Canis lupus familiaris: one gene and its partner. The protein of the gene in region 2 purifies or fractionates together with the protein of the main gene of each other region. This does not show direct contact. Links are inferred from orthologs where the notes say so. Each region holds a gene or a part of one and is shown on either strand. Other genes may lie near its edges.

The links.
Region 1: the proteins of SETDB1 (region 2) and ATF7IP purify together in Homo sapiens (affinity purification with mass spectrometry; 6 studies listed by BioGRID and IntAct, counting the BioPlex papers as one, with this or other methods). This does not show direct contact. The link is inferred for Canis lupus familiaris from reciprocal best matches to the Homo sapiens genes SETDB1 and ATF7IP.

What each region holds. Positions count from the first base shown.
Region 1 is NC_049248.1:14,001,797-14,005,886, reverse strand, and holds the start of ATF7IP (activating transcription factor 7-interacting protein 1), read right to left. Parts: upstream 2,899-4,090; 5' UTR 2,662-2,898; coding exon 2,645-2,661; intron 1,753-2,644; exon of another isoform or gene 1,693-1,752; intron 1-1,692. UniProt on the Homo sapiens protein: Recruiter that couples transcriptional factors to general transcription apparatus and thereby modulates transcription regulation and chromatin formation. Can both act as an activator or a repressor depending on the context.
Region 2 is NC_049238.1:60,704,604-60,708,253, reverse strand, and holds part of SETDB1 (histone-lysine N-methyltransferase SETDB1), read right to left. Parts: intron 2,823-3,650; coding exon 2,788-2,822; intron 1,969-2,787; coding exon 1,869-1,968; intron 407-1,868; coding exon 281-406; intron 114-280; coding exon 1-113. UniProt on the Homo sapiens protein: Histone methyltransferase that specifically trimethylates 'Lys-9' of histone H3. H3 'Lys-9' trimethylation represents a specific tag for epigenetic transcriptional repression by recruiting HP1 (CBX1, CBX3 and/or CBX5) proteins to methylated histones.

The DNA.
Region 1 (4,090 bases), on a different chromosome or scaffold from region 2:
GATTCTCAGCATATCCTTGCCAAAGAAACGGCAATTTTTTCCCATTTTAAGGATTAGAAAGCAAAAGTCAGAACATAGAATGAGTTCACCAATATAAGAAGTAGTAAAAGCAATTCAAATTTAGATTTGAACTCAGTTGGTTTCTCTCCACTAACTTCAACATTTTCTTTAAGGTTCATGCTTAAAGAAATGGCTCAGAAAAAAAGGACAAATAGGGAGTACAAATAGCGACAAAACAGTAACATTAAACCTTAATTATCCAGCTCCCAGATTTATTATGCCTTCAATTATGCAGCCTAATAGCTAATCTGGAATTCAGCACAGACAAATTGAAAACTGTCATCAGTCCCAAAAGTAATAATCCCAGTGAGGTCTAGTTTATGCTTATAGTTGCAAAAATGCAACACAGCCCTGAAAGAATTAGCAATAATAACCTAAGTAACCACTTTGTATTTTCCCATGTATAAGCAATAATCAATGGAGTCATCTTGTGGACGTTGAAGGTAAATTTTATAATCCAGGATAGAAGGCAAAAAGAGCAGATCATTAAAATTTCCCCAAGGTCCTACTTTGAAGATCAACATAAACTGCTTTGATAATTTCAACCTAACCAGTTTTTCTCCAGTAATGAAGAACAAACTGAATATCTGGCTTGAATTGTATAAAATATCTGAATACAGTGAGCGGTTCAAACTATGAGAGGTATGAAAATGACCATGATTAAGGACATAGCACATTCACTTCCTATGTCATATTCACTCTAGGGCAAAACCTTACTGAAAGGCATGATGGATAAAATCTCTCTCACAACACTAAATTTGTTGTTCTATTCTTTTGGGGGCAACCTCATATTACTGGATTTATATAATGTAATGTTCATATTATTATAATCTATTATATCACATAAAAGACTCCTAACAATTTCAAAGAGTAGTAAGTAAATGAAGTGAAATATACTAAATTTGTTGATGAAACTGAATCAGTGACCCCAAATATATTTGAAGCCAAAGAATAAATGACCAATGATTAAGAAAAAAATTTGTCAAAAAAAGAAAAAATATAAATGCAATTTTGTGGCAAGACAGCAATTTCAAACTGTTAACTTGTGTAAATATAGATCTTATATTTTACCGTCATGAAATTTAAAAAGAACATACAGAATATAGGTTCTAGAATACTTCTCAAAATGAATTCTACAGTCTCTTAGCAACTAAAGTTCTACAAATAAGCAACCTAATAAATAAGCAACCTCCTGACACTAATGAAAGATTATAATTGTGATAAATAATCTGGTTTCAAACTTTTGTTTTCATTGTAAAAGCCTAATTGTTCTTTTATAAAATAAACTTAGAGTAATACTATACTTTTAAATTGGAAAATAAATACAAACCAATAAAATATCATATGTATCACTTTTAAATACAGGGGTCAATCACAAGAATTTAATGTGCAAGAAGTTGTTTTCTAAAGTTGCAGTACTTAGAAAGTTCAAAACTTACTGTTCTATGTCATATTAGTCAGGGATATATTCATATATCCCTTGACAAAACTAAAGAATTGTACTATACCATTTATTTAAAAATTTTAGTAAGTACCACAATTTAAACACTAGAGTTTAAAATTTCTGCTATCTGAAATATTATGTAAATAAAAATTTCATTCTTCTTACCCTCTGGGTCACTATTGACTTACCATATCTCAATAAATGTTTCCACTTCAGAAGAATGTTAAAGTCTTTTGAAAACTGTGAAACTAAATTTACAAAATCATTGAATTACATTATTTTTAAATATACCACAGGTTTTAACTAAGACTAAAGTGGATATCAACAATTAATATTAACCTAAAACAACTGAGTATTTATTTAAGCTCTCTTGCACTAGAATACATTAGCTAGAAAGAAAAGGAGTATGCAGACCTACATATGAACTTGTTTCTAATTCAAAATCTGAATGACAGAAAAATAAATTTATTATTTAAAAAAAATCTGAATGACAATTTAAGGAAAAAGTAATTAGAATAAAAAGTTAGGACCCTTAAAAATGTGAAAGAATTAAATGGCCAAGAGGAGGCAGCATAATGAGAAAGAATTAGAACCCAGAGTACAAAAAAAATCTGTTAAAATTTTTTTTTCTTTCTGTGCTATGACTTATATTCAGAGAATTAACATTCTTCCCAGAAAGCTACCAAACAATAGCTCCAACACACACACACACACACACACACACACACACACACACAGAAATCTCACTCTTCATGCGAAACAAGGCTTATTTATGGCTTCTTTCCCAAAAAAAATCTATTCAGCAAATACATTGTTTTCAATTTCTACAAAAAAAAAAAAAAAATATATCAAACAAACTAAAATATCCAACACAAAAAAAATATTAAGTTATTTAAGGTCAGAAAACACTATTGTGGTGATCAAATGTTCTGACAATGACAGAACATAAAATGGTGAGAAATTACAGGAATTTAACCTTTGACCTCACCATCCTAAGTACTGTTTCCCTAAAAGAAGCTTAAAGCAAACATTTCAACTTCCTAGCAAGCAAGCTCTAAGTTCACCTTGCTATGTAAACTCAGTAAAATTCAAGTATTCTTTAATTAAAATGGTCAAAGATAAAGAGTAATTGGTTCTTACCTCTGGTCCTGATGCATGTGCCAAGTCTCCTCACTGGCATAGTTGCTGCCTAAGCAGCTACAAAGACCAGGTCAGCAGCCATTTTGAGACAGCTGCACTGTCTCAGTTGCACTAAAGTGTAATTAAGATGGCTGCAATGTGCACTCAAGAACTCACACAGTGAAAACTCAGCTATGTATCAAACAAAGCCCCTCCCACTTTGTCAGTCTGCAGGAAACTGAACACTGACAACAGCTAATGCATATACTGCAACAAACAATGCAGCTGCCTAGGACACAGAAAACAGAGAAGGCAGCAAGCCAGTTTTGTAACACAATGCCTGTGAATCCGGACTTGCAATACAGACTTTGGGCACATCCAGATCCCAGACAGCCTGAAATCCATGCCACATATTAGCAGTTACAGAGATAGAGCCAAATCACACACAGCAAACATCAGGGAATACGCTTGAAAGAAAGCCTCCATTTCAGTCCAGAAAAAAAAAAAAAAAAAAAAAGTCTGCTCAAGGCCTTTTTTTTTTGTCTTTTATAGTACTTTTATCATGAAAAGAGTGCCAATTTTTATAGTTTCTGGAAAATTAAATTGTTTAAATCCTGATAGTCAATTTCTACTTATAGAAGGCTAATTAAAGATTTTTTTTCCACCACAGAGTCTAAGCCCCCAAGTACTGAAATCTAGCAGAATGGTTAAAGCTTGCAGTCAAATTTTTGAATCTTGACAATAATTTTAAATAACTGCAGGGAAGAGACTAGAGTCATTACAGCTATACTGGCAACAAAGCTTATTTTGAGGAATCTGCCCTAAAGATAAAATAATTTCTTCGCTTTTGTAGTCCAGATAGCCACAAAGATAACTCCAGGTGAGTGTTTGGTCCCAGGGCAAATTAAATTTCATTCCCTGCTTCAGACCTCCCAACATTTTAATATGAGGGGAAAACAAGGAATGTAGGCACCCCGGGGGATAAAAACCAAAAAGGGAGAACAGTAGACTAAAATTCAATATGAAAGTGAGTATACTAACAAGACAAATTTGAGAGAGATCCCAACATATCTGGTCTTGGAAGTAACCTACCCATCAAGAGAAGAGAAAGACAAGAGCACAGAAAGGAACTGTTTGCTTGGTAGCTCATATCATCTAAGAAATCTACCTTCTCCTTTTTTCCTTGGTTTACCCTTCTTAAGATCTAGCTGCCCTATGTGATTTTGAGTCTATCCATCACATGATATAGATATTTACTAAAATTCATTAAGGGTATAGGAAAGTGGTAGGCATACAGCTTAAAGGAGATTAGCACAAATTGATAACTGTTCAAGCTGAGTGATGGGCACATGGAGTTATTTCATTCTATTTCTGTATATATTTAAAATTTAACATAATAAAATTCAAAAATAAGACAAACGTAACTCAACGTTTTTTATTTTAAATTCAATTAACTAACTCAGCTTC
Region 2 (3,650 bases):
ACTGCCCACAAACAGCTTGTCAGCAGGAGGGTGGTAATCATAGGCAATATGGTTCCCCGACAGTAGACTCTTTCCTTTATTGTCGAATTTCACCTTGTACTTCTTTCCTGGTCCTGAGTAAAAGGAAAAGATACACAAAAAATTTTAAAACCATCAGCTTCTGTGTAAATCCTGACTGCTACATGAGAGATAAAAGGCAAAGCTATGGGAAAAAGAAATGATCGATCAGCAATGGAGACCTGTAGGTTGCCTTTCATTAGCTCTTCTAGCCTGAACATACCAACCGTCTGGATGGCAATAAGAGTGCCTTTGTGCCATGTCTTTGTTCTCTTCTTGCCCAGGATGCGCATGCTGACTATCAGGTCACCATCTTTGCTCAGTTCTCCAGACATCTGACTCAAGGTTCCTACAGAAGAAAGGAAAAAAATTCTAAAAAGATATGGCATAGATTGGGGATAGTAAATAGAAACGTAAAGAAGGTACAATATGGTAACTGGGGAAAGGGGATATTCATTGATTCTTAGTCACTTTCGCTGCTCTCCTGGGCAGAAACAAAAAAACAGAGCTGACTTAGCTATTTATGCTAACAGGAAAAACCTGCATAATTGAAATTCACATGTAATTTAAGAACACTCACTTTAACCAAGTGTTCTCAACTCCTTATTAACAATATTAATTATACTCATTAAATGCTAAGTAGCACTTATAAAACATTTTCCAGTAGAGGATTTATTAACAGCTTGATTTGACAAAGCTTCCCTCAGACCTCTGTGTAAGAGTTTGAGTTGCTCTCTTCTAATCTCCATCTATTTTTTTTTTTAATTTTTTAAATTTTTTATTTATTTATGATAGGCACACAGTGAGAGAGAGAGAGAGAGAGAGAGGCAGAGACACAGGCAGAGGGAGAAGCAGGCTCCATGCACCGGGAGCCCGACGTGGGATTCGATCCCGGGTCTCCAGGATCGCGCCCTGGGCCAAAGGCAGGCGCTAAACCGCTGTGCCACCCAGGGATCCCCCTAATCTCCATCTAGAAGTAATCATGAGCACGAAGCTAAAAATGTATTTTATTTATTTAAGATTTTATTTATTTATTTATTCATGAGAGACACACACAGAGAGAGGCAGAGACATAGGCAGAGGGAGAAGCAGGCTCCATGCAGGAAGCCTGACGGGGACTTGATCCCGGGACTCCTGGATCATGCCCTGAACCGAAGGCAGACGCTTAACCGCTGAGCCACCCTCGCGTCCCTAAAAATGTATGTATGTATGTATGTATGTATGTATCTATTTTTTTTAAAGATTTATTTATTCATTCAGAGAGCGAAGAGAGAGGCAGAGACACAGGCAGAGGGAGAAGCAGGCTCCATACAGGAAGCCCGACGTGGGACTCAATCCTGGGTCACCAGGATCACACCCCAGGCTGCAGGCAGTGCTAAACCGCTGCGCCACCAGGGCTGCCCCCTAAAAATGTATTTAAAGCCACTACAGGGATCCCTGGGTGGCGCAGCGGTTTGGCGCCTGCCTTTGGCCCAGGGCGTGATCCTGGAGACCTGGGATCGAATCCCATGTCGGGCTCCCGGGGCATGGAGCCTGCTTCTCCCTCTGCCTATGTCTCTGCCTCTCTTTCTCTTTGTATGACTATCATAAATAAATAAAAATTAAAAAAAAATAATAAAGCCACTACACATTTGAAAATCAGCAGACAAAAGACTTAAGCAGACAAGGAAAACCTGTATTTAAAGGACCCAACGGAGGTGGATGAGGATTCTGAGACGCTAAAACAAAGCCAGTTACCCATGAAATCTCTGTAGGAATTCACTCCCCCATTCCCACCACCTATACCGAGCGAGGTACCTCCAGACCCTAACCTTTATGTAGATCCTGGGAACTGCTCTTCTTGTTGACAGCATCCATGAACTTCTGGACATCCTGAGCTGACTTTCTTAAGGCAGCCATAGCTTCACGGAGCTGTAAGGAAGGTGATGAGGGAAACAAGTTTTTAAATACCATGTTAGGTGATCACCTGGGTGGCTCAGCGGTTTGGTGCCTGTCTTCGGCCCAGGGCGTGATCCTGGAGTCCCAGGTTCGAGTCCCACATCGGGCTCCCTGCATGGAGCCTGCTTCTCCCTCTGCCTGTGTCTCTCTCTCTCTCTGTCTCTCATGAATGGATACATAAAATGTTAAAAAATTTTTTTTTTAATAAAATAAAATAGCACGTTAGACTTGAGAATAAGAACTTGTCTTTCAAAAAACAAAATAGAATGGGTTATGGTTGAGAAGTTATGGTTATTTTATCAGGCAAAACTGCCCTTCCTTATTTTTTTTAAGATTTTATTTATTCATTTATGAGAGACACAGAAAGGCAGAGGCAGAGGCAGAGGGAGAAGCAGGCTTCCTGTGGGGAGAGCCCGATGTGGTACTTGATCCTGGGACTCCAAGATCACGCCCCAAGCCCAAGGCGGATGCTCAACCACTGAGCCACTCAGGTGTCCCAGAAAACTGCCCTTCCTTAGAAATCTGGTTCAGAAATCAGCTTTAGGGAAATTCTCTTGATTAACCTCACCTAGCTGGTCACTGCCAAATTCTACATTCATACATCACTCAGGGCATGCATCTATGTAACCTCTGCTGCATCCTTAGAACAGCTGTAAGAGGACTAGAGCCCACAGGGCTGATTATAGAGTGCGTGATTATGTTGATGTCTGAACTGACAGAACGGTCAGGCCAGAAGTTTCTCCCATCTTCTTATTCTTACCTGTCATCTTTACCTTCCCCGTCCCAACTCACCTTCTGGTCTTTGGGAGTTCTGCTCCCAGCATCACCTATGGATGAGAAAAGCTCTAAATGAGTATAAGAAACTTACACATAAGAATTTCCAAGAAATCAATAATTAAGCTACTTTTTTTTCATTAAGGCATTTTATTTGCATGTATTATAACTACATGCAAACGTTATAGCTACTGAAAACGTTATCACAGAACTATTACTAATTACAACTGAAAACCATATATAGCTATATATACAAAAGTACTAAATGGTCCAGAAAGACAGGTGACAACAAATAGGTGACAGTGCTTACCTGAGGATAAAGTACTGTGACAGGTGGTGGTCTACAGAATTTTTACACTTTTCTGAAGATTTTATTTATTTGACAGAGAGCACACACAAGCAGGGGGGAGTGGGAGAGGGAGAATCAGGCTCCCCTCTGAGCAGGGTGCCTGATGCAGGACTCAATCCCAGGACTCTGGGATCATGACCTGAGCAAAAGGCAGACATTTCACTGACTGAGCCACCCAGGTGCACTGTATATTTACATTTTTAAAAATATATATTTGAGAGAGAGCGAGTAAGAGAGTGAGTGCACAGGTAAGGGGAGCAGCAGACTCCCAGCTGAGCAAGTAGCCAGATGTGGGGCTCGATCCTAGGACCCTGGGATCATAACTCAACTGGAATGTAGACACTTAACTGGCTGACCCACCCACCCACATGCTGCTTCAAATTTTTATAACAATTTGCTTATGAATTATTTGAATGATTATTTATTTACTTGAGAGACAGAAGCAGACTCCCCACTGAGGAGGGAGCCTGATGCAGGACTTGATCCTAGGATTCTGGGATCATGACTTAAGCCAAAGGCAGACACTCAACTG